Lonchura striata: one gene and its partners. The protein of the gene in region 1 purifies or fractionates together with the protein of each later gene. This does not show direct contact. Links are inferred from orthologs where the notes say so. Each region holds a gene or a part of one and is shown in the gene's direction. Other genes may lie near its edges.

Region 1 (7,393 bases):
TATGCTGCAGAGTGTGGTTAGTCACATCAAGAAATAATTGTATAAGTGCATGTAGAGACACGCCTTGGCAGCCTAGTATTTTGGAGAAGAATTTAGATAAAATGAGTATTGTTTAGTCTTCTTTCTATCCATTCTGGGTTTAAACCTTCTGAGTTTTTTTCCTTCCTTTGAGTCTACTTCATATTAATTAATGTAACTTGTTGCAGTAGGTTTATGCTGTGTCCACCTTGCAGTAGCTAAACTTAAGCTTACAGTATTGTTTCCCACCCCAAAACAATCTTGGGAAAGAGTTGTTCATTACATTGTTGGATTTTTTGCTGTGCTGATGTGCAGGGTACTTACAAAGTGACATTTGTTCTGAGCATACTTTATATTCCATTTCAGACAAACGAATCCAGCTCTTCATGAGAAGCTTGCTTGCTCTTCCAAGTTTTCAGAAGTGTATGCCTACTATGCCAGGAGGCCTTTCTGTGATTCAGACAGAGATAGAGTTTCTGGGATCTCAGTATGCAAGCATTGTAAACTTCAATAAAAAAGTGTATGGACCATTCTATGCAAACATACTTAGAAAACTGCTTTTTCCTGAGGCAGCAATGGAGAAGACAGAAGCCAAAACATCTAGCAATTAAAAAATGTACCCTTTTTTTAATCTTCCAAGACAGTGGGGAGGTCACAGATCTCTAAGAACAGCCTACTCCAGTGACTGTTGATGGGGAAAGGTCTTGTAAAATGTATACAGATAGTTTCTGAAATTCACTGTAAAGAAATTAATGTCAAGGTCATATATATATTTTAATAGAAAATTGTTTGTTTAATGGATTGTCACTTGTAATAGCCAGTGAATTATTAATTTCCATAGCAAGCATTTATTATGACTTGCAGTAGGAAAGATCTGGCAATGTACTTGATTTTTTGCCACCATCAAAACAATGTTATTTTTCAACTCAAATATATTTACATATAGCAATGCATATTAGGAAATTACAAAACAACTGTAGATAAAATGTACTATGCTTACATTGTATTTTTGTAGAGTAACATCTCGGACATCAATTATGTTTCTGAGAATACTTTGAAGAAGACAGTATAGCATAACTGCTTTAGTAACCAATCCTAGGTTCATACTAGGCAAAGTTGAGGTCCTCCTGCAATTACTGGACCCAGAATTTTGCCTCTGTTACATTAAGGAAAGCCAGTGTTACAAGCTGTTTGCAGGATTGCAGTTACAGAAGCAGCATTCACCACTTCAAGTAGGAATAATTCAGAACTTCTCAACTCTAATTGGTATTAATGATAAACACCTGAGAAACATGATGGTGGGGGGGTGGAGTAAATTTCTGTATATAAAGTGTTTATAAGCATCTTGTTTATTCAGTGGAGGTCATACAGATCTTTAATATGTGTATGTATTGATCATTGATCTTAATAGATGGGTGTTCAGTATTTTTAAGTTAGGTCTTCCTAACCTTTATCCCCAAAAGCACTTAACCCTGACCTTACAGTGTACCACAGAAGAGCTGCCCCTTTCATGCCCTTATCCAATAGAATGTAAATTTTTCACAAGATACTCTTAGGCCTGAAAGCAAGAAGTTGAGTAATGAGTCATTTTTGAAAATATTATTAGATTCACTTTTTTATGGAGTGTGTGAGAAATGCTCCTGTTTCCCTCCAATTCCTTTGGACTGGGCCCCAATACTTAGTGCCCACTTAAGGCATTGGGAATCTTGCATACAGAAAACGAATAGAATTGAAATGGAGAAAGGTGGAAGGGAACTTCTTTAAGTTTACACAGACTTTATCTTGCATCTTTCAGATTACTGGGATTATCAGATAGTGCTGGAATTCATATTATAGACATGTTCTTGTCTATGAAATTGAATAATTTACTTGAAAATGATATTTTACTATATTACCATATAATACTCATTTTAAGATGTCATATATAGAAAACCTCAGTGTGGTACAAGTTAGAGCTTGTTTTTAATGTTTTATATTACAATCTATTTTTATGAAGAGACAAAAATAACCTGTAAAAGTGTAATGTGTCACACAAATTGTTTATGTACATTACAGTGTCTATTATAAAGGTCTAAAAAATCCTGGGCATTATTAGCACTGTGGTTTTGTAGTCCATTTCTAGCAAAGGAAATTACTTCTATTCAGTTCTTCAGTGTCCAAGGACTTTGGTCACAAGTAAATGTTAAGGAAAACTTTCTTCAAAATGCCTTTTTAGAGAAAGTTCTCTAGTGCACTTCTGTTCTACCCCTTGTGAAAATATTGCACAAAATAAACATGAATACATATTTTAAAGGGAACTGTTTCCTGGAAAACCTAGAAAAAAGGAACTCTTAGACTATCATAACTGTGCCACTAGGTAAGCCAGGCTTGCTCAGATAAATATGAAATTTTGGTAGGCAATTCAAAATAATTAAGAGAAGAATGCATTTCAAAAGCAGGAAGAGGGAATGAATCTTAGTGATTTGCTACAATATTAGAAGTTACCTACATGATTTTGAACTTCAGCCAAAGGAGGATTTTATGAACATTTGAAGGTGTTAATATGATTATGAACTTTTAATTATAGTGTTTTATATCCATTCTATTGTACAAATAAACACAAAGTTTAGCTCTTTAATGAGCTGGGAAAACTGTCATAATAGTTTTTACCAGTAAATACTCAAAACATAGCATTTTTTGGAGGGGTTTGGTGATTAAAGTGACTTGCAAAGGGCATTTTATAGCATGGCCTGTGTTTCAAGTGATTGTTTAATGTGTTTTAATTTAATGTTTCCAACAGGGACATTGCATCTGTTTAATGTCACGTGTTGCATGCTGTTTATGCTACTGTGGCTGAAATGCACTTGCCTCTACTCAGAAGTTGTCCTTGTGAAACAAGATGCCATTCTGTAGCAGCTTTATTAAAAAATAAGTTTTGAGGATTTGTATGCATTAAATTTTGTTTGTGATACTAGCAGTGGTGAAAAGTCATTTATACGAACATTATTAAATGCAACAAATTGTTGAATGCCAAAGATAAATGACTTCACTATTCTGTTGTGACTGTTTTTCTGTTACTTCTCAGAAGCAGCTCCTTTGGCAGAGCACTGAGTTTAACCCAGCTGTACAAATAATATTGAAGACAGTTGTCTGCTTAAATCTGACAACTTGGATGAAGGAAGTATTGGGTTTGCATGGCAGAGTTGGAGGAGCAGTGGACTGCAGGGCTGGCTTCTCTGAGAACTTCTCCAAGCTTCTCCCTGTGCCCGACAGAGGCTTTCCATGGATTAACCATGGATTGCCACGTATGAAACAAATTCTCCACTGACTGTTCCTTTAGGCAGGAGACCAAATGGAAGGAGTCTGAAATGTTACTCCTCTTCAGGGTAGGGGCCTTAGTGTCCAGGATGGGTGGAGCTCAGACCCAACCCTGTCAGTGTTACTCATGAGGAACCCGAGCCACAGCAGATAGATGTCTGTATGCACTGATTTCACACTCTGCTTTTAGATCTTGCCAATTATTATATTTATATATATATATGTAGCTCAAAACCTTACTGCCACAGGAATGTGCAGAGATCACTAGTGCTTCTTGTTTCATCTTGAACTGGGGCAGATGAGTAGCCCCCCATTTGACTGCGATTTTGGTGTCTCTAAGCACCGAGCCTTGTACAAGAGAACGAGCAGGTTTGTAGGTGATTCAGCTACAGCAGTCAATAATAACAACAACGCTAAAAGCTGTTTCCCCGCGTTGCTTTACATGCGAAAAAATACAGGAAAGCCATTTAAAGCCCGACTGCTCCATGTCCCCGCCGCCTTCCGGCGGGGATTCAGGGCAGACCTCGGGGCGCTGCCAGCTCTGCAGTGGCCCAGCGGGGCGGGCCGCGGGGCACCGTGAGGGGCGGGCCGCGGGCAGAGGGAGGAGCGGCTGCCGGGCACCGTGAGGGGCGGGCCGCGGGCAGAGGGAGCAGCGGCTGCCGGGCACCGTGAGGGGCGGGCCGCGGGCAGAGGGAGGAGCGGCTGCCGGGCACCGTGAGGGGCGGGCCGCGGGCAGAGGGAGCAGCGGCTGCCGGGCACCGTGAGGGGCGGGCCGCGGGCAGAGGGAGGAGCGGCTGCCGGGGGCTGTGAGGGGCGGGCCGCGGGCAGAGGGAGCAGCGGCTGCCGGGCACTGTGAGGGGCGGGCCGCGGGCAGAGGGAGGAGCGGCTGCCGGGGGCTGAGGGGCGGGCCGCGGGCAGAGGGAGGAGCGGCTGCCGGGCACTGTGAGGGGCGGGCCGCGGGCAGAGGGAGCAGCGGCTGCCGGGGGCTGGGCGCGCTCAGCGCTCGGAGGTGCCCGGGCAGCGCGGGGCCGGAACCTTCGGGGCGGCGCCGGCGCGCGGGGGACGCGCTGCGCCGCAGCGCCGCGGCGCGCGGGTGGCCATGGAGGCGCTGGGGCTCGGTGCGCTCACCCCGGAGCAGGCGGCGGCCCCGGTCAACACAGTGGAGGTCAGCGGGGCAAGCGGCCGGGCTCGCCTCGGGCTCTCCCGGAGCGTGGCCGGGCTGAGCCGAGCCGGGCTGGGGGGGAAGGAGTCTTGTGGCGGCGCACACGTGGAGCGGCCGCTGCCCGTGCTGCGCCGCTGGGTGTGTGTGGGTGTTTGGTGGGGGTTTGCTTGGTCCGAGCTGTCCCTGGGCAGCCCCTCGTGAAGCCGGGCCCCGTCTGCCCGGGCTGTGTCCCGCGGGGTGGCAGGGACCTCACAGCTCGTGTCCTTCCATCCCCCTGCCATGGCACGGACACCTTCCGCTGCACCCTTCTCCTTCCAGCCTGGCCTTGAAATATTTACTTAAAATTAAAACCATTAGTCTCATCCTTAGGTCATCAGTTTAATTGCATTACTGTTTAACAGATTCAACCCCTTTTTTTTAGACATAGCATTTAAATTATAAAAAATCAAGCACTCTTCATCTTTCCAGACTGTAAACGCTACTGCATATCAGCCACAAGGGACCAGTGGTATAAGCCACACCATTCTGTACGTCTCTTTTTACTGCATTAGCTTTGCCACTATTAGATGTTAAATTGGGATCACAAGCAAGATTAGTAGATTAACAAACAGTAGCAGTGAAGGCTGAAAGCCAAGAGCACCATCAACATTTCTGTGGGTAGAAGAAAGCTAACAACTTTCTACAGGTGTTTTTGGTTTAATTAATTTTGTAGTATTTTAAAATGGTAGTATATGGAGAAGCATATGAGGACTGGGAACACTCCTCCTAAATAAATGATTTTGTCTCTAGCCAAAGATATATGCAAGTTTTTGCACTGCCGTGGTGGGGAAAACATGGGGCTGACATAGAGATGTTCCCTATGCTCATTAATGATTAGAGATGGGAGAAAGTTTGTAGGAACTTCGATACACTTAGCACTTGTCAGTACTTTTGCTAAATCTCTGTAGGATTTAGGGTCCTGGTAAGTGTTACAGCTGCTCCCAGGACTGAGGTTCTTGCATGTATTTTGTAAAGCAAATGTTGTAGGAAATCTTCCCTTTTTACAAATATAATTTACAGTGTTAACAGAACAAAACCAGAAAAACATTAGTTGGTCTTAAATGAGGACATGGTGTTAAGGAGTTTTCTCAGAAAACTATATTTTCACAGAAGTTACTCTCAGGAAAGGCCGTGTGCAATTGCATCCCAAATACTGCTTGTATGGTTTACTGAGATGATCCAGGTAATTTTTATCCACCTCTGTTGGCTTTAGACAGTTGTTTCTTGGTTTTTTCCTAAATGGATCTGATTTTAAACAATGTTACCGTTCAAAAAACAACAATAGGAATAAAACATGTAGACAGAGGCTCAGGCATGTTAGATATTTGGCTAGTCCTTGGAAAGATGTCTCAAACTGTTTTTGTTTTCAGGAAAAATGGAGACTTCTTCCAGCATTTCTGAAGGTTAGTGCTACACACTCATTTCATGGTGTGACTATTTCATCTCCTTTCTAACTTCACATTCCTTTCTTCTGGCTCTTACTATTTCCCAGAATACCTGTCCTCACTTTTCTGTGGATTTTGCCTTTTGTTTTAGTTCCTTGCAGTTATCAGTAGACTTCTTCCATAGATTGTTTTCTTGATTAATTTAAAGATTATTTTGTGGAGATATCCTCCTAGAGGTTTGCATTTTGGTGTGGTTATTCTCAGTCCATAGTGTATATATGTAATGTTTCCAGATTATTTTTCCTGTTTTACTGGCTCTCAGAGATGCTATCCATGCTCTTTATATGACAGTTCCAGTGTAAACCTGAAAATGTAGTGGAGAACCAGAGTGAGCATCCAGCCACTTCCCAGAAGTTTGTCAGCTGAAAGAATTTAGCACAGTTATCCAAACCCAGTTATAAAGGCTTATATCTTAATTTCTGCCTTATGTGATTAATGTTACTGAAGCTGATTTTATTTGCTGCGTGCATTATTTTTCAGGTGAAAGGACTGGTGAAGCAGCACATAGACTCATTCAACTATTTCATCAATGTTGAGGTAGGCTTTCCTGGGTGGGGGAGAGTGGCTCTTAGTACTCAGAAAAGGCCATGGTTCCATTTTGTTCTTTTTCTCCTCCAGATAAAGAAAATCATGAAGGCAAATGAAAAAGTGACAAGTGATGCCGACCCAATGTGGTATCTGAAGTAAGCATGAGATGATTTCCATATCAGTAGCAGCATGAGTACTGTCTCAGGGGTTTGTTTATAAGCACTTCTGTAGGTATAAATCAAGAAGGTGTTTTTCATGACTTATCTCCTACTTTATGCAATGAAATATGGGAAGATTTAAAGGTTTACTGCACATGCAGGCTAAATTTGAACTAATTTGACCACAACTCAAATACAGTGAGTTACTTTAGGAAGAATCATTGGTCATTATTGTCAAATTGTCAAACTGTGTTCATCAAAATAATTTAATTTTTCAGTATATGTAAAATTTTGCTTCCTTCAGATTCTTTGAAAAATATTTGCCTCATTGCTCATTTTGAAACTGTATTACAGGTACCTCAATATCTATGTGGGTACTCCAGATGTGGAAGAAAGCTTCAATGTGACACGACCTGTATCACCTCATGAGGTATTAATATTTGCATCTGTCTTGTTGAGTTTTTTTGTCTTGGAAAATAGCTGCATGTAATTTTGAGTACATGTGTGTTACATTTGGTAGTGCATTGCATTCCACCATCACTGTAAAAGCAAGCTTCAGAGACTGAAACATCATTACATAAATATTTTTAATTTTATTCTAAATTGTTGAGGGTTTTTTTTTCCTGTATTCAGTATTTTGTGTTAGGTGAATTTGAGTGGGTTTCTATGAAAGTAGTGAAAAGTATACTTCTCTTGCTTCATCTTGTGGCTCTCCTCATGACAGAGCTGAAGTCCTCATGCCATAA
Region 2 (7,382 bases), on another chromosome or scaffold:
AACTAAATTTAGGACAGGATTCACAAATTTAGAGAGGGAACAATTTCTAACAAGTTTAGTCTCACCAAGCACCCTAGAGAAGGAAGAATGTTGGTTACTAGAACCAATGTAAGTGGTGCCTCCAACTTAGACAAATTCTAGGATGGAAACACCTGTTCCTAGTAATTTGTGTTCCTCAGTAACACACAGAACACTTATGCATGGAACAAGACATTTTTTGCCTTTTTTAAAATCACTGTTCACCACTGCTTACAAAAGAGATAAAGACAAAGTTTTGGTGATACAGAAGTATTTTCTCTGTTATTTAAACAGATATGGTATCTGTAAAAAAGACTGCTCTTTGACCCCAAAGTCATTGATACCTTCCAGGTAATAATACTGAAGATGACACAGCCAAGTCCTGTCTGCATGATATGGGCCACTTACCCTAATTTGTGAAGCAAATCAAGATCTTCCAATGCAAAGGCGGTGTATTCAAAGTATTGCTTACCCCTAGTGATAACCTGAAGTGAGAAAGGATGTGGAGAGAAAAGAGAGAGGTCCAAGAGAAACATTACCCAGCTGAGACAGTTTTCACTCCACAAATATGTGTTAACTGCAATGCCTAATTACCCAGCAACGGCGATAAATGAGATGTAGCTGAGGACCAGCACCCGAGGGTCTCAGTCACCTGGGATGCCGGACACGAGCAAAGCAACCGCTTCGCCCTCTCGTCCGGCAAACCGGTGGGCACAGGAGCAGAGCCTGGAGGCCGCCCTGCCACCGGGCGCAGCTGAGGTGGCGGCGGGGCACCCCGAGCAGGGCTGCGGGCGAGGAGCAGGAGTGAAGGCGGGCTGGAGGAGCTTCAGGAGCTCTCGCCGCCCGGGCCGGGCCCGTTGCCCTTGGCGAGGAGCCGCTTCGCTCTCCCCAGCCGCACCGGCCCCCCGCGTGCGGCCGCCGCCGCTTTCCCTCGCTCGGCTTTGAACTACCCGCCTCACCAACCGCTGCCTCCCCGCCCCCGCCGCGCTCGGCCCGGCCGGCAGCCTGAGGAGACCGCCCCTCGGGGACGGGAGGGAGCACCAGCGAGGCTTGCCCCGCTCCTCACTCCTGATACCGGGGCCCCGAGGCCCCCGCCGCGCCCAGCCCACGCTTGAAGCGCCCCTGAGTCGCTCCTGCCCCTGCTGTGCTTCCCCGGAGGCGCCCGGTGAGGGTGGGGTTTTCCCGCCTCTGCCGGAGCCCGCTGCGCTCCCGAGGGCGGAGGGCAACGGCGGCGGGGGCGCTGAGGGGTGGCTCGGGGGTGCCTGGGGCATTCCCCGCTAATAACCCTTATCTGCGCCGCAGCCTTTAATCTCGGGTTATAAGAGTACTAGTTAATTTGAGTTAATTAGCTTAATTACCTTTTTACCGGATAGCCCAGGACTAAAACAGTCACAGAGCGTTTGTCAAGTACATCACCTTCAAAGCAGTCGGTGAAGGATCCCCGACTCCAGCACCGCACAGGTCCTCATGGACCCAATAGAGTCTCCCCAGGTACTTTTTGCCAGAGATCCCGGGAAGGACCATTCTCCCTGGCTACAGTGCAGAGTACTTATTCCGCGCCCTGTCCTGTCGTGAATGGCCTAAGGGTTACTCCTGTTTAATTTGTTAAAAAACTTGTAGTAATTCAGAAACTGGCTCCTGGATTTTGCTGTGGTTTTAGTTTTTCTGCATACTAAAATAAACTAAAACGAGAAAACCGCCAAAACTAGACTACGTGGATGGATGTTTGTCCTGGGCTCGGTAAGGATAGCGTGATTCTTCACACCGGCGGGATGGGGAATGGCAGACCTGAATGCGAGACCTAAAACTGGCTCTTAAAGCTACACCTATATTTTAATATGCAAACTCCCGGCTTAAGTAACGTAACTCTTGTTCGTGGGTTCTGATATTTGTCAGCCTTCCCCTTTGGCAACTCCGCTCTTCCTGGTGTGAGGCAGCCTGAGAGGGGGCCGAGGAAACAAGGGCTTAAAAGTTCCCGACCCAGAGCCGGCGGAAACTGACTTCGAGGGAAAGAATATCTGTTTATTTGACTACAAGGTAACAGTTATGGCTTAAAAGAGAAAGGCTCTTGGACTATCTCCCCCTTCCTTTTTAGAAGGAGAAAACATTAGAAACTTCTTTCAAGGTAGTCGAAGATTTCTGAAAGTGCTTTCTGTAATACCGTCTGCTTCACAGGAACTGAATAAAATTGTTTTTCAAATATTTGTATTTATTTCTAAAATACCTTCTCAGTAAAATTGGAAGCTTACTAGTGAGACACAGCCACTGCAAGCTCTGTCTCCGTCACTCAAATCTGCATGGATTTATGCGAGCTGGATCAAAAATATCCAAGAAATTTAGCAAGTCGTAATTGCGACATTTTATGCAATACACAGAAGTGTCACACTACAAAGTGTGTTAAAAAAAAAAAAGTTCCCATCCCAAAAAACCACCGCAACAAAAACCAACCAAGAAAAAAAAACCCAAAAAACAACACAAAAAAAACCCCCCAAGACCTGAGAACGCAACTTCTAACAAGTGAAACCAGGTGAGACGTTCTGAAATAGTCGCACTGCGCTCGGTTCCGGCTGCATTTCCTTCCCCTGTCCAAAGTACCTGTATCCCTGTGCTTTCCCCATCTCGACACACAAATCTTTCTTCTCATTTGCCTGCCAATTCCCCAATAACTATTTCACTTTACAGTACAGTGGGAATCTCTCAGACAGTCTCCACGCTCTCTGCTACTCTAAATCCAACGGAGCATCTTTAGGGCTGGAATTTACCAGCACATGGGAGTGGGACTTAGCAAAGCGCTCCTCCCGTAAGGGGCGGATTTTATCGGAAACTGCTGAAGTGAAGCTGTAAGATCTGGTAAAGCATCCCATTTTTCCAAGGGAATGTTTAAGGGATACCAATAATAAAAATATTTACATTATTTCTTTATTAATAATGGAAACATTATTTTCACGGGATTAACCGAATCTTTCATGGAGATATTTTTAGTAAGTCCTTTTAAATTTGTCCGTTTGACAAATGAGTTTTTAAAATACCAGTAAGCCTAGAGAAACAATAACCGGGTGTGTGTGGGGGGGGGTGCTTTTTTTAGGAGTTGGAAATTTCTTACCGTGCCTTTATCGATAAAGAGCCCAGGCTGTTTCTCTCCTCTGTTTAAACCTCTTGGTACCCACCTATACCCACAGCTCCGTAGCAGAGGAGAGGATGCAAGTAGTAACCTATAACAGTACCTCTGCCTTTTACAAACCATTTTTCTTGCCTGTGCTTTATTCTGGCACTCCAGAGCTTTATTCTTTAAGAGCAGTGTGAAGAAGCAAGTCTAAAGCCATTACTGTGATTTCATTACGTTTAATTTAAACACAAAATGAGGGAAACTGCAACTATTTATTATTACCTGAGTTCGTTTTAGGTAAGTTACATGTCCTGTATGAAGGTGATTTGCTGGTAGGAGAACATCAATGAATTACAACTGATAAAAGCTCATCCTTATTAATTTGGATGCTTAGGAAACAATTTTTATTCAGTATTCAGAAACAGAAAGAGATCTTTCCTTAAACTAGGGAATCTTTGAATGATCTAGTAGTTTAAATTGGCATATTCATAAAACATAGTATTCGTTAAACATTGTGGGAGGTGGGGAGAAATACAGCAAAGATTCCTAATTCTACAAACTGTCAGTCGAAGATTCAAAATTCCTACCGCAAGCGAGGTGGAACCACTGACAAAGAGCAACCGGTGTAGTTTCAAATCTTGCTTGCACTATTTTAGTTCAGCACATCGGGGAATACCGACATATGAAGTTCTCTCATAATAGAACCTTACACATAAAATGCGCAACATATATGTTTGTAGTATATAAGTTTGGCTTCATGTGGGTAAATATGATACCGACCACGTCATCAAAATATCAAGATGCCGGCTTTATCCACGAATTTTAGGTAAAATGCTTCTGAAAACAGAGAGGACCTTGAGGCAGAACACCTCGGTGGATTAAAACTCCGCAGCCGTAAGACCAGACCTGGTGCGGGCTATTCTTTATCCCGAGTATGTTGAGTACAGCTAAATAAAATAATGAAAATACCGGGGACCTTGGGGCTAGTGTTACCTAACCATGCAGCTGCCTACTTTCTTCACACTGCTATTCATATGGAAGCTTGTGTCTTAAAATAATGTGTGCCTTTCTTCTTCTTTTGGTTTGTTTTTTTTTTCTTCCCTTTTTTTTCCCCCTGTCTTTTTTCCCGCGGGTGGCTAGCACCCGGAGCGGAATACCGACTCCTTTCTCAGCCGCGCGGCGCGCCCCGCCGCGGAGGCCGGCGCTGGCGGCGGGGCGGAGCACGGCCCGCCCCCGCGGGCGCTCGTCATCAGCGGGCGCCGGGGAGGCGGCGAGCCCGCGGAGCTGCGGACCCGGTGGGTGCCTGCTCCGGCCTTCGGGTGTCCCCTTCGCTGCTGGGCGCTGCTGGCGTGCCCGCGGTGGGCAGGGACAGGCCGGAACCAGGCTCGTGGCCTTCGCTTCTGCGCGCCAGACCCGCGGACAGTGGAGGAGGTCGGAATCGGGGCGGGATGGGGAGCCTGGGGCCCGTGGGCTGTGCGAAGGGCTGTAAGCCCTTCTTCGTGGGCTCTGCGGGACGTGAATGAGCGGGTTGGCTTCTTTCACGGGTGCATAAGAGATGCTCGGAGAGAGGACCTCATTAATATGCAAAAATATCTGAAGCGAGAGGTGCCAAGAAGATGAAGCCACGCTCCTCTTGGTGGTGCCAAGCACTAGGACAATAGGCAGCAGGCAGAAACTGAGGCATTGAAAGTGTCGCCTGAATCGGAGGAAGAACTTCTTTACTGTGCAGGGTTGCATACTGGAACAGATTGTTCGGAGAGGCTGAGGAATTCCCCTCACTGGAGATGCTCAAGAACCATCTGTGTGCTCTCCTGTGCCGTGTGCTGTAGAGTGATCCTGCTTAAGCAGGGAGGTTGGACCAGATGACCGACTTCGGTCCCTTCCAGCCTTTCCCATTCTGTGATTTGGTGAGGTGCTCTTGGCGCATGGTACCCCCACGTCTCTGCAGTGGATCCTGGCTGCACCCCAGCACGTGTTGGTGCATCACTGGGCCTGTTGGCTCTGTCAGCTTGGTGGCACATAGGGCTGTAGGGTGTGTAAAGGCCAGCTAAGCTATGGCACCTCCCTGCAAAACACAGAACTTTAGTTCACTGCTGCCCTTTGCAGCAGTATAATTTTGCTCCATAAGCAGCACTAGCCCAAGGTATTTAGCTACAACTGTGATCCACCTTAGTTCAGCTCTGTGTTTTAGAAGAGTCCGTTGTTTTCCAGTGGTAATTGGTGACTGCACATATCTTAGTGCAGTATGCTGACACAAAAAACTATAGCACATGTGAGTTAAGATGCCACTATGAATATGGTGTAGCATACTTGAAAGCTGTAGAAGTCAATGGATTTTATCAAGTTCTCTTAAATGGAGTGACATAGTGGGAGTTTTAACAAGATGGTTTGTCAAGTGTTGATCAGACTCCTAAAGTATGAAATGTCCCTGTCCTGTTTTCAGTATCATAATCTTCCCAGCTGAACTTATAATGAAACAAATTCTGAAGATGAGGGAAATAATCTTTGCTGTAATGTTAAGCAAAAGCATCTGAGAGCCATTCTCTCATGGGAAGCAAAGGAAGCATCAAGAAGGCTATTTACTGGCACAAGGGTTAGGAATTCCTCTATGTCAGAACAGCAATACGGAAAACAGCAGCCTCAGAAAACCTAATAGGAAATAATTAATGTTCTCACCTAGACTTGAATTGGGTGGGGGAAAAAGTGTTTATCTATGTACAGTAACCACCTCAAAATTCATGGTTGCATGTACATTTACATGTAGGATAGGATTACTTAAAACTTGGAGGAGTGTTTGTGGAGTATATGCAACTATTTAGTCTGATGCCATGAAGAAATACTTGTCTTCAAATATGTCTGAACAATCAAAGCGATTATAGGACATTAAGAAGTATTTGGAGAATAGCATTGAGTTATTACTCTTGATTTGGTAGGATTTGAAGGGTTGAATTTTATCTCCATGACCCCTCATTGTTCAGGGTTTTTTCCCTTTTGTTTTGCTTTTTAATTTCTGCTATTTTTCTACCTACAGTCTGTTCCCAATATTTCTAATACCTTAGAACAATGAGTTAGCTAGTGTGTCAGAGAGGGAGGAAAGATGACAAGGCTTACCATCTTTGTTAGCACCATTGTTACATGAGTGGCATATAAGAAATTATTGAATTTTATGTTTCCAGCAGGGAAATTCCTAACATTGGGAGGAAGGAGGAAAGAAAGTGATTTCATGTTCTGTTATGTTTAGCTTGAGATATTAAAATGATTGTGTATGCCTTGGGAAAAAAAAAAAAAAAACCAAACCCAAAAACCCCAAACCCAAGCTAATGTGCATGTTGTGTATTTTTTGTTTTAGAACATGGATTCACAGAAGGACGTTCAGCCTCCAAAGCAGCAGCCAATGATTTATATTTGTGGAGGTAGAAAAAAGACATTTAATGATTTTTTTTATTACTTGTTACTGGAGATTTAGTGTTCTAATAATGAATAGTGCTTAGTCATTATACTGAAGGGTACATAGATACAAATACTTGCAGTGTATATCCTGATGATGTTTAAAGCTTTATGCATTGATGGTAACACATATATGGAGTACATATGCAGTGTTGTGGAGATAATTCTCTAGAGCTTGTGTTGCTGTGTGGAGCTCCTCGATCTCTATATGTTTTATTGACAGTGCTGTTAGGGCACTCAGCTTTCCCTGAAGTACAGTAGTCAGATTCTCTCTTACCTGTAGATTAATTGATGACTTAAAAATTGGTGGTTTTCAGGTATCCCTAGAATATTATGTCTTTTAAGACAATAGACTTTGGGCTTTGGAGGGATGAACTAAAATTTTCATTAGTAGATGATCTAGTATCAAGTGTGGAATGTGTTCTATGCAGTAATATTTGGGTGATTTTTAGCAAGATTTGCTTTTATCTTAAATATAAGTGAAGCTTACTTTTTATTTTCTCTTTTTTTTTCACTGTATCTTATCATTGAGCTTTTGATACAGATTCATTACACTTGCTATGTTTGTTTGCCACAAATAAGAATTTGACTGTCATAACTTCTCAAAGTTATCTGTGCATTAACAGTGCTGTTCTTCTTTGCCCCCACTTCATTTTTCTTCCTCCATAACATCAGAATGTCATACGGAAAATGAAATAAAGGCAAGAGATCCTATCAGATGCAGAGAATGTGGCTACAGAATAATGTACAAGAAAAGGACCAAAAGATGTATCCTTTTACAAGTACACTTGAGTGCCGTTGGAAAGCTGTG
Region 3 (6,959 bases), on another chromosome or scaffold:
AACAACATGCCACAACTCCAGAGCAATATCAACTTGCTTACTTGAAGCAAAAATGAGACTGCAAATATTGAGCTATATAACCCCAAGTTTCCACATCAAAAATAGTTTCCATTATTTGAATGGAAAAAATGCAAACCAATTTGAAATCTTGTACATTCACAAGTTATCTGACTTTATATCAAACAGCTGCATGCTTTGGGTTTTGTGTCCACCACCTAACACACAGCTCAGCAGGAAAGACTCTGCAAGAGATTCTGCCCCTGTTCCAGCCCGCAAATTATTTGCTGAACTGACATCAGCTGAAATAAGCACCCATGAGAACATAAATGACTGACATCTCTGGTACCACCAAAGTGCTTCAGAAACAAAAGACATGCCTGTAGTACTGCAGAGCACATTGCAAGAATGAAGCCAGGTCAGGTACAGCACCGAGACCCCCTGTAACACAACACTGGGGCTGGGGACATCTCCACATGTGTCATCAAGGTGCAGCCCAGCCCCATCAGCCACCTACACTATCTCATACAGAATACAGAGTAGTCAGTATGAAAACACATGACAGGTTCAGCCCATGAATTTAGCAAACATAAATCCCGAAAACACTTACATGCAGGCTTATCATTAAGCCTCATTGCAAAAGAACTATCTGGATGTTTAAAATCAAGCATATGCAAGCATAAATATCTACAGAATTTGAACAAAAAGAACACAAAAAGTACACTCCATAATATTATTAATTTTTACTGCTCCATAGATACCTTAACCTATCAATTATATAACTTAATACTAATATTTTAAAGCATTTTCATCTTCAAAAGGCACTAGAATTTCTAAAGGACAAACTCCACTGACCTAATAAAGCAATTAAACAGCATGCAAGTCAATGGCGTCACATTAAAAATGCTTCTGCAAACCAAATCAACAAAGAATTTCCAAATACCAGAGAAGCCACTGCCATATCAAATAGACAACCAGCTTCCTCTGGTGCCTTTTACACCAGGGAGCATTTTAACACGAAATAAATGTTGTTTTCTCATTAGTTACAGCCGTTCGTGTCTAGTAGCTCTTTAAACAAACAACATTTTGCTGATGCAAGGCAATAATTTGTATTTATTTAACATCTAGTACACATTTCACTTTGATATTGCTGGTATAACTTCTTCCCAGTTGCTTTCAAATATATTAACTTTTTTTTAGAAGTACAGAAAAATGAGATTAAATAAGAGGGGGGTATTTTGGCATATTTTCAGACATAGTTTTAACTGGTAGCTAACAAACTTCTGCTGTTTTTTCGTAATATAAATATATTACTAAAATATATATCCATAAATATATACCAAGATTGAGACCGCTCAGTATGGGTAAAGGCTTACAAAAAAAGAAACTTTCACTGAGGTGATTAGTGCTTCCATGGTAGCACATAATAAACAAATGCCAAATGTTGCAATGCCAAAGCCACCATTTTTGGCAGGACAGGTTTTAGTAAGCTTATTTTTTAACCCATCTCAGGAGAACAGTATTTTTCCACCCAATCACCTGCTTACATTCCTCTTGCAAAGTTTTGTCCCTAAACTGCCACATTTTTTATTGTTTTGGTAACAGAAAATTCAGGTGCAGTCTTAGGAAAAGGTACTACCTTTGCAAATCTCAGACCTGAGTCCAAGGCCCTGGGCTCCCTCATCCTGAAGTCACCAAGCAATGTAAAGGGTAAGTATAGTTAGAAATTCAGAACTGAAAACTCATGGCAAAATTATGAGTTTTAAGATCCATACATTTTCAAATTGCAACAGAACAAGCACTTTAAAACATAATATTATGACCTTTTTTATTTAAAAAAATCTACTTGGGCACAGTAGTGTTATTTGCAGCCTGATGACTCTGGAGTTAATAATTTTATATTGTACTGTGTTCAGGAGAGAGGATTCCTTAGATATCTGATAATTAGAAAAAAAGAATAATTATAAAGGACTCCTATTTAGTCTTACAGTTCTAGCAAGTACACTGATATAACTTGCTTCCATTTTAAGGAAATTTGTTTTAATAAAGACAGGGCAGCATATGGTACTAACATGTTTATTTTCCAAGTGGAAGGGACACTAACCAAAACCATCTGATGTTTCTTCATCTGATGTTTCTTCCTAAGCCTCCTTGAGCTGGATTGCAGCTTAGAATAAAGCATTACAAAGCCAGAAGAAGTGGGTAGAGGAATAAAAAAATGAGTAATTCAAAGTCTTTATCTAATGAGAGCACAGTTCAGACCAGTTCTTATTTTGAATATAAGTTTAAAAGTACTTATGATTGGAAATTTATTTCCAGAGACTATCAAATGTAGTCCAAAGCTAATCTGTCACAGACATTTTTTACTCTGCACACAGACAAAAACCAAACCCCTAAATCATGTAATTAAAAGAGGAATTAAAGGAAGCTCAGAAGTACTTAATAGATTTCTAGAGAAGCAAACAATCAGTACTGTGCATTATGAACACAGTAAGAAAAGTCACCAGGGACTACCAGATTCACCCCCACCAGAGCTCCAGGAACGGTTTTCTCAGTTAGTTGACCAAGTACTATGATTCCATCAAGAGCAATGGTAATTTTAAAGTACGCCTTGTTAAAAGTATAAAAGACGAAAACTTTTCTAACCACATTTTCAGTGCTAAGAGCTAACAAATGAGGGGACAAACCAGGGAGTGCGGGTCAGAGCTCCGAGGGCTAGCGTGAACGTTTGGAAACAGCTGCCAACCACACGGACTCAGCGGCATTTCGCAGGCAGCCCCGAGTTCCTCTGGCGCAGCTGTAAAACACACAACCTGAAACCCGCTCCTGCAGCAGGGGTTCGCTCGCAGCTGTTCTCTGCCTCCCCCGCACGCAGAAATCTGACTCCTCTCCAAGAAAGAGCTTCTTTAATGAAGCCACACGAGAGCAGCATAGGTGTATCGGGGGACCCAGAACCAGGCGCTTTCCAAGTGGGTCTCCAGCACCCGAGCTCACAGCTCAGCCTCGCAGAGACGCGCTGCAGGGGCCGCCGGGCTCAGCCCCGCCGCCGAGCCGGGGGCTCCAGGGCGGGGACGCTGCTCCGAGGATCCCACCTCAGCCTCAGCCACCTCAGCACGGCGGCTCCGGAGCTCTGCCCACTCCCGTACTTGTTGCCTGCGCAGAGCTCAGCCCGGCGCCGCCGCCCCCGCGGAGACCCCCGGTGCCGCTCGGCTGAAGGAGGCTGAGCGGGGCTGAGCGCCCGGCACCGCGCGGGGCAGGGGAGTTACTCACCGCGCCGGCTCCGCGCAGCGCTCTCCTCCTCAGCCGCGCCGGCTGCGCCCGCCCCGCCTTAGGGGAAGCAAACTCCGGGCAGCAGCACTTGGAGAACGTGTCTCGTCGGGCCGGGCCGGGCCGGTGCTCCCGCCTCCGCCCCCCGCCGCGGGCAGCGGCGCGGCCCAAGTGACAGCGGCGCTCCGCCACTCCGGCGGCGGCCCCGGGCGCGGGGCCGGCCGAACCGCAGCCTATGGCAGCGGGGCCGGGGCGGGACGCGCTGGAGCCCGGGGCCGGGGTGTCCCCGCCGCTCGCCTGATCGGCTGTGCGGAGCCCGGAGCGGTGGGGAGCGCGGGCGGGGCCGGCGCGGAGGAGGGGCCGGGTGGGGCGCTGCCCGCCCGGGGCTGCCCGCGGACCTGTCCCCGCCTGCCCGAGCCCTGCGGCCGCGCCCAAGGAGCAAACCCAGGGCGTCTCCGAGACTGAGAGCCCCAGCGGCGCTCCCACCCTCCCACACTCAGTCACCGCCCCGCGCCTGCTTCCCCCGCCCTGCCGGCGGGGCACGGGGGTCCTGCCCGCCAGGGAGCCCACCGCCCCGCTCTCCTTTTGGCGGGGGGCGCGACCACCGGTGCCGCAGGTGCCCGGCGGGGTGTGGCGGGGCCCGGCTCGCCCCGCCCCGGCTCCTCCCGCCGGGGTCCTCGCCGGCCCCTACGCCCGCCCCGCTGCCACGCCCCCCGGCCGACCGCGGGTGATGGCGCCGGCCTGCCCCTGAGGAGCCGCAGCGGGGAGCGGTGGGGCAGCCATGGAGGAGGACCCGGAGCTGGAGAGGTAGGGGGGAGCGACAGCGCGGGGAGCGGTCTCGAGAGCGAGCGGCCTCCACGCGGCTGCTGCGCCGCTCCGGGCCCGGCAGCGCCTCCCGCGCCGCGGGGCCCGGGCAGCGCGGGGCTGCGGCCGGCCGGCTCCCCCGGCCCGAGCGCTCCGCAGAACCGGCCCCGAGCTCCGCCGGGCTCTGCCCGCTGCCCGCAGACAGCCCCTCCTGTGGGCGTGCGGCCAGGGCGCGCCCCGAGGGCAGCGCGGCCTGGGGCTGCCTCTGCCGTGTCTTCCGCACAGAGCTTTGGGTGCGTGCTGATGTCGCTTAGAAACAGGATTGGAAGGTCTTGGATGGTTCACCCCTCATTAGCTACAATTTGATGAGTTGTGGACTTGGCAAAATAAATTTTAAAAATCCCAAAACACCTTGTGTTGTTAGAGATTTCAATTTTCAGTTGTGCCCTTTGACTAGTTGTTAGAATTGTCGTGTTCTTGTATGAGAAAAATACAAAATGGTTGGTAGTTATTTTGTCAAAAACTAAAACTGTTTTCTATTTGGCATTTCGTTGGAACCAGTGGATTTGTCTTGCTGCACGTTTTGAGTTGCAGTGCTCTCAAGCAAACACTGAGGAATAAAACATTGATTTCCATATTAGGATACTCAAAGTAGGCCTCTCTTGCTTTTGTTTTAGGAATAGACTTTTGGTGTTTATATCACAAATGTTTTGCAAAACAGTGCTATTTGTTTGATGGGAATTTGTTTTTGCAAGCTTATTTCTGGGTTGTTCATTTTCCTTACGGCTGTTTAAAACAACTGTTACAGTGAAGTGATGACCAGAAGCTTTCTGAACTGTTCTCATGGTTCTCTCCTTTAACTTTTAAGAAACCGTATCTGGGAATGCTTACCGAAAATAACTTTTTTCTATTTGTATCTGGCAGGTATTTGAAATGTGCCAAAAGCAATAGTACTGAGACAGTGGAAGGGCTAGAGCGCTTAATGCTTTCTAAGAGGCTTTTAATTCTTGCTGAGCTGTTTCTGTTCTCAGATCATTAGTTTAATAATTAAAGCTTCTTTTGGTGTATGCATGAATGTTATTTTTACTAGTGCCATTCTAAACTTAAACCTTTTTCATTCATGGCAAGTTGAAACCATGCCACTGTTCTTCCATGCTGTCTTCTGGTTGCTGCTGCCGTGCTGGGGGCCTGGGGTTCTCTGGGCAGTTCAGGGCATAGCTGACCTCACCAGCTGTAGCCAGCTGCTCCACAGCCACCTCCTGACTGATGCTCTTCTTCCCAGAAACTACATTTGAAGTTTTACCTTCCTCAAAGGCTCACTCCAAGTTAGGATTTGCTATTCCTGTTCTGTGGCAGTGTGGTAAATAATGAGGATGAAGCTCAGTGTCACTTGTCGAAGTGGCACGGTAGGGTTTAGCTGTTTGGTGTCACCAATCTGTGTCACTGTGCACCTCAGAGGGTGTTTAGTCGGCCCCAAACACATTATAACTACAGTGTAGTGCACTTGACAATTGGCTCTTCCTGTCCTCGATCCACCTATCATCAGTTACTTTTTCATACCTTAAGTTTTCATGACAGCTTACTTTGATAGTAGCACCCTGAACTGAATTCAGTTTGTGCTGTGTGCATTTAGAGGGTGTACTTTGGCACTCTAAATAGTGCTTCACTGTACAGTCTTCAGTACAGAGCCCTTCCAGTCTAACAGAGATCTTTCTTTATCCTTTGTGTTACAGATGTTATGTCTTAGATTCATACTCAATAACATACTGATCATATCATCCTGTGAATAGTGTAGTAATGGCAGTTTAGGCTTATAATTTTTAAGGGTTTTGTATTATGGGTTTAACATACAAATAATAGTGTTTCTGTTCTGTAGCCATAGTATTAATTCCTTTAGTGCATTTTTAGTGTTCAAAAATGGGTTTATGTGGAATATTTTGAGAAGTCTGTCTCTGAATCCAGGCTTGTCTTGCAATGCAGACTTAAATAAAAATTCAAGGTTTTTGTACATGTGCTTTTTATTTAATTAACCATGAGGGAGAAAGAAGCGTAATATTTTTGTGCATGCTTTTTCAGGTCAGAAATTAATTTTGTGTCCCAGTATTCCAAAAAGTGATCTGTTAAGTCAATCGCCCTATATTTTTGTTACTAAGAAGTCTTTTCTTCTAGCTTCTTTTATTTTTATCCTTACTGCCACATTTCCCAATATTATTTTTCAGTTTTACTGTTTCTGACTCTCACTTGATCTTGCTTTTGATGTTTTCCTCACTTTAATATGAAGTGAGGTTTTCCTCGAAGCTGAGTACTTATAAGTTCCTGTGTGACTGTTGCATACAGAATGCAACAGTCTGTGGGTTTTAAAACTCTAAAAGCTATAAATACCACAGATGTGTAAAACAGTAATATTTGCTACATTCTACTGAACTACATCCTCTACTCCATCTCACCCAGTAACCTCTGATGGAAGAAGTATGAACTAAGATTTTCCCCTGTGAACTTGCTGGTACATCAGTGAAGACCCTGAGCCTTAAGGTTCCATGTGATTCTTAAGAAAATTCTAAATTATGTTAGCATATGATTAATGGTATTTGAAGTTATGATGTAAGAAGGAGGTGGAAAAAGGGAATCAGCTAGTAGGAGCTGTTCACTTTCTTTCCTCTGCAAGCACCTGAAACTGCTTTTCCTAGTTTATTTCAACTAAATATACACTGAGATATTATGTAGGTCACCATTTTCATTCCTGCATAAAAAATGAAATCTTTCTTCCCCCTCTACTTCCTAAAGTATTGCCATTGTGGTTCTGTATGTTTGAAGCACAGAAGATGCGTTGTTTCTCTTCAAATACAGAGGAAGTGGCTTTGTTATACTGTGTGTCCATATCCTTCCATAAT
Region 4 (7,024 bases), about 38 Mb from region 1:
GGGACAGAAAAACTCTTCAACTCCTGGATTCCAGCAGCTAAAGCTTAAAAAAAAAAAAACAAACAAAAAAAACCCCCACAGCCCAGCAACTGAGAACCATGCTCTGAAATACTGGAAAAGCCCCAATACTGCTGAAAGAGAGTCGAGAGACTTTATGGCTGTGCATAAACAGGTATGTACAGGCTCTGTGGATTCCTGGGTATTCACCACGTCAGTAGTACTGGGAGGAGACAAGTCAGCAAAACAAAGCTGTTCACATCATCTCCAGCAGCAAGACACTTCAGCAGCAGCCATAAATATAGTATAACTCTGAGCACTACCATTAGCTGAGGCAACACCCATATTTTACAGAGCATAATTTGGCTTTTGTTTATATTTCTACATTGAAGACAGCACTTGTGAAATATGGAAATCCTCCAAGGAGAAAACCTAGGTGGGAACAGAGCAACATCTGTCATGCATAGGCAGCCCAGGCATGCACTACTTGGGATTGGGGAGGGGCTACCTGAAGAAAGTGAGACTGGAAATCATTTCCCACAGCCTGGGATGTTCCTGGTGGAGGCTGAAACACTGAAATCCAGACTTGGTTTTGGGGTGATTGTAGCCTGGTAGCGGAGGCAGTGAAGCTTATCTGACACTGCCATCACCAGCCTTCTCTGCACACAATTCAGTTTCCCCAGCATGAAATCAAAGTACCTGCAAGTTTCAGCAAAACACACAGCTGCACAGAGAAGAAGAATGTTATTGTCCTTACTGAGTAGTGGCCCACAGCATTCAGCCCTTGTTGGCAATCACAGAACTGATATAGGAGAGAGATCCTGCACATCTTGCTTGGTGTCAGCACTTCATAGCATACGAAAGACCTCACCAACGGGACCCAAGACAGTATGAAGCAAAGCCTTGCAGACCTGCTGCTCACACAGTTGTTTTTTGGGGGCTGTGGATAAGGCTGAAGGGAGATGTGACTGATTGTATTGGGCACCCAAGAGCCCCCAGTGGGGCATGGTTATTGGAAGCATGGAAAATATTAGCTCAAGAATGCGCTAGAAATGGAAGCATGATATGACTCTGTCTAAATCCACTTCTCTCCATCTCCCATGCTCCCCCAGGTATTTCAGTCTACTATTCCCTGAGCTCATGCCCCTACTTAACCCTACAGTTCTTATATACAAGCATCCAGAGTGATCACCTTGCCAAAACCAGCAGTGCCTAAATTCTCTTTGTCTGATACCAAAGCTATTTCTTCCCCTGCTGTCAGGACAGGGTTGAGAACAATTTCCTCTTCTGAGTGAAGTAGCTATAGACACCTGCAAAAGCTGCACTAGGTAAAGGTCAAACCTTGCATTGCCAGACCTACATGAGGCCAGGACAGAACAGCAAGGGATGCAGCATATGTGCCAACAAAACTGTGCTGTGCCGAGATTAGTGCAGCTGTGACTGCAGTGTGGGAGAAAGGAGCCTTTGTAAGGCTCCCTGAAGTAGGACAAGAAAAGCAAGAAACACTAGGGATTTGGGTTGAGGTGTTCTGATAGAGTGGTGTCTGCTGTGCTGGCAGCAAAGCTCCTTGCTGAGACAGTAGATGTTGCTCCAAGAAAAAATGCTGCTTTTCCCAGGAGACAGGGGAAATCTTATTTCTGGGCCCACTATTTAATACTAACATGCCAAACATGGGCAGACCAGCCATGTTTATTTAAAAAAAACCAACATCCCCACAACCTAATAGACCCTAATGAAACACAGTAATTAAGAAGAAATCAACACCTCCTTATCCAAGACAGGTACCTTCTTAATGAGGCCTAACTAGGGTATTTCCAACCTTGTTTCACCCTCCCTTTCCCAGACAACTCGATGTTTAATGATTTCTTACCTAAAGTGCTCTCCTTACTGTCCCACCACATGCTGCTGGGGAGCGTGGGGGATGACACACTTAGCCTTAGCATCAAAGCCATGATGCTGACAGTGCAGTTTTCACTGTCAGCCAGGGATGTTTGGTTTTCCTGGTGGATCTTTTTTTAAGCACACTTCAAACAACCTCCTTTCACTTTCCCTGACAAACCTTAGACGTTAGTGCACCCCCCTTGTTTTCTGCCATCCCTCATGCTGCTTCTCCCTCACTGCAGAACACACCGAGGCCTCAAAAATTATACCATGGGGGTTGGTTTCTCTTTGGCAATTAACACTCACAAATTATGCCAGCTCTGTATGGTGGCAGTTTGTCCCTGAAAAAATCCTTGACCTAAGCATTGGGCAGACAGAGCTGTGAGGGACTTCCAGGTGCAAAGATTATAAACCCACCCAGGTTTGCTGGAGATGTGGGCAAACAGCTGAAGAAATGGCAGAGACTTTCATCTTTGGGCTCCTGAGTGCAAGACAGACATGGAGCTCCTGCAGCAGGTCCAGCAGAGGGTAACAAGGGTAAGGGGGGACTGGAGATCTTCTCTTCCAAGGAAAGGCTGAGGGAGCTGGGCCTGTTCAGGCTTGGGAAGACTGAGAGGGGACCTCATCAATGTGTATGTCCATGAAGGGCGCCAAGAGTTTGGAGCCAGACTCTTCCTGGTGGTGCCAAGCAATAGTGAAGTAAATAAACGGGCCAGGAGACCTTGTGCTCCTTTCTTGAGAAGGCCTTTATTAAAAGGATAGCCTATGGGGGTGGGGGCTCGGGGTTCGCGACGGATCGGAGTCTTTGCCCTTGAAGGATATGTCAAAAGATTCACTTTGCAACTCGTTGATCTAGGGGCTTTACCTCGCTCTGGCTCCTTTGCTTACAGCAATTGCTTCAGAAATTCTGCGGGTCCTCTCCAGCTCCTGGAAACTTTCCCTGCACGTAGGTGTGGATCATTTTGCTGTCTCTGCTCTTGGCTTGTTGTCTGGCTATATTCCGATTTATGTTGAAGTCCAAAAATTGATATACAGTAGACACTAGGCTCTCTGGGAAACGGGAAATCTTCCCTGGGAGCAACTTCCTGGGAGCAGCTTCTGAACTAACCGACGCAGTGTAAGGGACAGAAGGGGCTTCAAACTACTAGAAACAGCAAAACAAACTGGTAGGATTTCTTCTATAAGGGATTTTAACAAAGGTGTCAACGGCAGGAAGGGATACAGAGGCTCCGGGAGTTAACTGGGGATGCAAACTGGGTATAGGGCAAATACATAGGGGTGGAACTAACAACTACATGAACAAGGGAACTTCCAAACTGTGAGGAGGTAAGCAGACAAAAGCTTAGACATCAAATCCATTCATAACAATAGCACAGCAAGCAATGGGGCAGAAAGTGGTGCCCAGGGAGTTCCACCTGGCCGTGAAGAACAATTTCACCGTGCAGGTGCCCGGCCGCTGAACAGATCGCCCAGAGAGGCTGTGGAGTCTCCCTCACTGGAGAGGGAGCCCAAGAACCCTCTGGATGCCATTCCTGTGCCATGTGCTTTGGGATGAACACCATATCAAAATGTCTGGAAAACACTTTCTAGCACAATCTGAAGCATTAGAAAGCAGGCATTCTTTATCTGCACAGGGCACATAGAAGACTGTCTGAAAATTTCTATTCTCTGTGTTATTTATCAACCCTGCTTGAGCAGGGAGGTTGGACCAGATGCCCCACCGTGGCCCCTTCCTATCTGACCTGTTCCGTGCTTTTGTGATCTTTGCTGCCTTATCTGGATTGAAGGTTACGAAAATGATAAATTAAACCAGAATAGCCGCAGTCGAGAACTGTTCTAGCTGTGGCACAGGAGAGCGCGCCCAGGTACCCACCTGCTGGAGGTGGAGGGGAAGGAGCGAACTACACAGCATCCCTGCAAAGGACGCCAGGGTGCCGAGCCCCTTTCCGCGTTTATATTGGCCAAAACCAGCCCAAACCCGGAGATCCTCGGATCCTTCCCCGCTCCGGGGGCAGCCGGGCCCGCCCCGCCCGAGGAGGGACAAAATGGCGGCTGCGGCTGTCAATCAGGGCGCGCGACCCGCCAGCCGAGCGCGATTGGCTGCGGCGGCGCCGGAAGTGGCGGGGGCGCGCGGCGCGGCTCCGCGTGCGGCGGGGCTGAGGGCCGCTCCCGGCCCCGCTCCCGGGCCCGCGCCCGATCCCTTCGGGATAGCCGGGACCCCGCCCCACCGGAGTGGCCCCGCACCTTGGAGCGCCTTCCCCTTCCCAGCCTGGCCCTCGCAGCGCTCCAATTCCCGAGGTTGGCGTCTCCTCGCCCCCCGCCACCATGTTTGTCCTGGTGGAGATGACTGACACTGTAAGAATTCCTCCCTGGCAGTTTGAAAGGAAACTGAACGAATCTATTGCTGAAGAGCTAAACAAGAAATTGGCCAATAAGGTAAAACAGGGGTCACGTATAGGTTGATGTAGGCATCGCAACGTCCCCGAGCGTTCCTTCCTTGTGTTTGTGCCTACTGAGGTGCGCGGGTGAGATGTCAGAGTTGTTTGGATGTGAAGGCCATCCCCCGCGACTGTAAATAAAGAGACAGCCACGTATCATCTCAAAGGGGACATTTTTCTAATGGCTGATGTTGTAATGGGAAGATACTGAGGCACCAGATGGGGCAGAGGAGCACGGAAGAGAAGTGAGAGCAGCTGCTGGTTTGTGTTAAAAGAAGCAATCCAAAACGCAGCCTGAAAAACAAGTGCAAACTAATCCATCCAGTGGGGAATTTAAAGAAAAAAAACAACTATATAAACACATGTCGAACACTAATACTGGAAGAGAAATGATGCTGTTAGTAGCTGATTTAGCCTGTGCTTATTAATTGAAATACATGATGGCAATAAGAAATTAGTCTTTAATGCAGCATATAAAAAGTGTTTTCTTGTGGCCCTGGAGGTCAGAGTTTCCCTGTGCAGTCCCAGGACTGTGATAAGTGTACGGCTTTCAACATGGAGCAGGTGCAAAACTAAAAAATGCAGCTGTAAATGTGAAAGGAGCTCAAAAGAGCAAGCTGAAGGGATCTAGGTTATGAAAAGCAAAAGTCTTCCTTCATCCACTGATGACTGGTGGATGCCTCAAATTTCATAGACAGTGAAGCTGTCTCAGAAGTAGCAGAGAAACCAAGAGTTTGCCCTGTGTCTCCCCAGAGCTGATATAATGAAGATAAAAGGCAAGCCTGGAGGCTTCTGAGAGTGCAACTCTAGCAAAAAGCGTGTTTAGCATTTGGACAAACTGAGGCTGGTGAATGATGGGGAGTTCTTTACTGTCTTAGCAGCTCAGGTTCTCTCACCGCTGACAATTTCCCCAAAGGTTTCTCTTTGTAGCAGCGTTTTTTCCAGTGCCAGTGAAAATGTGTTCCCACAACACTTGGATTGGGGTTTCCCTATGCTGCTGGTGGTGTTGAAGGCAGTGTTCCAAAATAACCTCCGTCCCTCTATTGCTGCCCTTTGAAAAGGTGTGCAAAATGTATGAATTCCATAGTTTGCTTGATTTTACCTGGTGGTTTGCTTGATTTACTGCTCTTGATTTTTTTTTTTTTCTTTTATCAGGTTGTATACAATGTTGGGCTCTGCATCTGTCTGTATGATATCACAAAACTGGAAGATTCATACATATTTCCTGGGGATGGTGCATCACATACGAAGGGTAAGTGCTTTTCCTCAGTTACATTGTGTTGCAGAAGCTTAATTAATGATCTGGAAATGTAAGATGAGTTCAGTTGTTAGAGACAGTGACAACGTTAAGTTGACAGCCTTAGCTCTGTTCCTGTTAGGAGGGCAAGAGGAACATGGTGAAAGTCTCTTATTTTCTTTGCTGCTTTGGGTACAAATACAGCTTTAAATAGCCAGTCCTTCTTGCCTTCTCCAGCAGCCCATCTCTGTTCTACAGTTAGAGCCATAGGTGTGGGGTAAGAAGAGGGTTAATTTAATTGAAGGTAGAAAGTCTGCACATAGAAAATAAGTTGTAATAATTGGTTTGCATTTCTCTGATATTTTTTCTTTATGAAGCATATTCCCTAGCTAGGATAAGAAACCTGTTTCTACATGTAGCATTTGCACAGCATTTAATGCTTTTGTACTAGCTGGGAGTTTTACAACACTTTTGTAGAAACTAGATTGGTTCATCATACATTTCTAGTGACTTCTTTTAATAAGAAATTACTCATTTCTTTACTTTGATTCTTGGCAAATCTGAGTGAAAACTGGAAGTAAGTGCATAAAAGCAAATTTCATTTTTTAAAGTTAAAATAAAGGTTTAAACTGGTAAGAGATGCATTTTTCTGGTTTCAGTTTACAGTGTGAAATCATAGGTTGAACACATGAAATATCTCCTGTTAGAAGGGAACTGCACTGACTCTATGTGCTTCCCCTTGTCTAAGGGGAGTAGAACTCATTTCCTAAAAATAAAAGCTTTTCTAATACTGAAGGAGGATAGGCTTTCCTGCTTGCTTTAATCTCCATTCAGCTTCTCAACTTAGAATTACTCCTTGAACTGAAAGAAGAGAACTTTTCTATCCGAGTTTGGGAAAAAAGTCTGCTTTCAGAATCTGGTGTAACACTTTGATAAATCCCGCTGTGTCTGGTAATAACTCTTTCTTTAATGCACTGCCTAGTTTTATGTAAAAGAGGAGCACTGAGGAGGTACAACTAAAATTATGTTTAATTTCTCAGAAGCATTGTTTGACTGCGATTGTCTTAGTGTAGCATTCTTGTAGTAAGTGCCATGTACTTAGTTAGAAACATTTTATCTAGCTTGGAGGAAAAATCCAGTTATGTTAGAGAACCTTGTTTAATCTGATAATACTTGATTTAGAAGATTTAATTTAATGGAAATACAGCATTGCAGACAAATATAAAAGGCAGAAGTATTACAAGAAAGTATAATTTCAACTGATACTCTTGACTGTGAGACATTGTGCTTCCATCATAATTTAATCAGAAGCCAGCCATGCTCCATGTTTATCATCTTACACTTTCTCTCTGTGAACTTCTTGCAAAACTGAGGAGCTGGGAACAGGACACTGCTGATCCAGCTGCTGCCAGAATATGTACAAACCAGTTAGGAACCAGATCTCTTATTCCCATTTTTCTATCTAATCAGT

Evidence for each region.
Region 2: the proteins of POLR3B (region 1) and POLR2K purify together in Homo sapiens (affinity purification with mass spectrometry; 3 studies listed by BioGRID and IntAct, with this or other methods). This does not show direct contact. The link is inferred for Lonchura striata from reciprocal best matches to the Homo sapiens genes POLR3B and POLR2K.
Region 3: the proteins of POLR3B (region 1) and protein POLR1D purify together in Homo sapiens (affinity purification with mass spectrometry; 6 studies listed by BioGRID and IntAct, with this or other methods). This does not show direct contact. The link is inferred for Lonchura striata from reciprocal best matches to the Homo sapiens genes POLR3B and POLR1D.
Region 4: the proteins of POLR3B (region 1) and POLR3H purify together in Homo sapiens (affinity purification with mass spectrometry; 8 studies listed by BioGRID and IntAct, with this or other methods). This does not show direct contact. The link is inferred for Lonchura striata from reciprocal best matches to the Homo sapiens genes POLR3B and POLR3H.

The regions. Positions count from the first base shown.
Region 1 is NC_134607.1:20,708,949-20,716,341, forward strand, and holds the start of POLR3B (DNA-directed RNA polymerase III subunit RPC2), read left to right. Parts: upstream 1-4,377; 5' UTR 4,378-4,414; coding exon 4,415-4,480; intron 4,481-4,977; exon of another isoform or gene 4,978-5,004; intron 5,005-5,886; coding exon 5,887-5,919; intron 5,920-6,441; coding exon 6,442-6,498; intron 6,499-6,579; coding exon 6,580-6,644; intron 6,645-7,001; coding exon 7,002-7,077; intron 7,078-7,393. Other genes in the region: TCP11L2 (T-complex protein 11-like protein 2), read left to right, coding at 385-629. UniProt on the Homo sapiens protein: Catalytic core component of RNA polymerase III (Pol III), a DNA-dependent RNA polymerase which synthesizes small non-coding RNAs using the four ribonucleoside triphosphates as substrates.
Region 2 is NC_134603.1:21,794,256-21,801,637, reverse strand, and holds the start of POLR2K (DNA-directed RNA polymerases I, II, and III subunit RPABC4), read left to right. Parts: upstream 1-4,367; 5' UTR 4,368-4,555; intron 4,556-6,473; 5' UTR 6,474-6,476; coding exon 6,477-6,537; intron 6,538-7,246; coding exon 7,247-7,339; intron 7,340-7,382. UniProt on the Homo sapiens protein: DNA-dependent RNA polymerase catalyzes the transcription of DNA into RNA using the four ribonucleoside triphosphates as substrates.
Region 3 is NC_134604.1:69,173,864-69,180,822, reverse strand, and holds the start of protein POLR1D, read left to right. Parts: upstream 1-3,940; 5' UTR 3,941-4,045; coding exon 4,046-4,071; intron 4,072-6,959.
Region 4 is NC_134607.1:58,368,370-58,375,393, forward strand, and holds the start of POLR3H (DNA-directed RNA polymerase III subunit RPC8), read left to right. Parts: upstream 1-4,011; 5' UTR 4,012-4,203; coding exon 4,204-4,314; intron 4,315-5,471; coding exon 5,472-5,568; intron 5,569-7,024.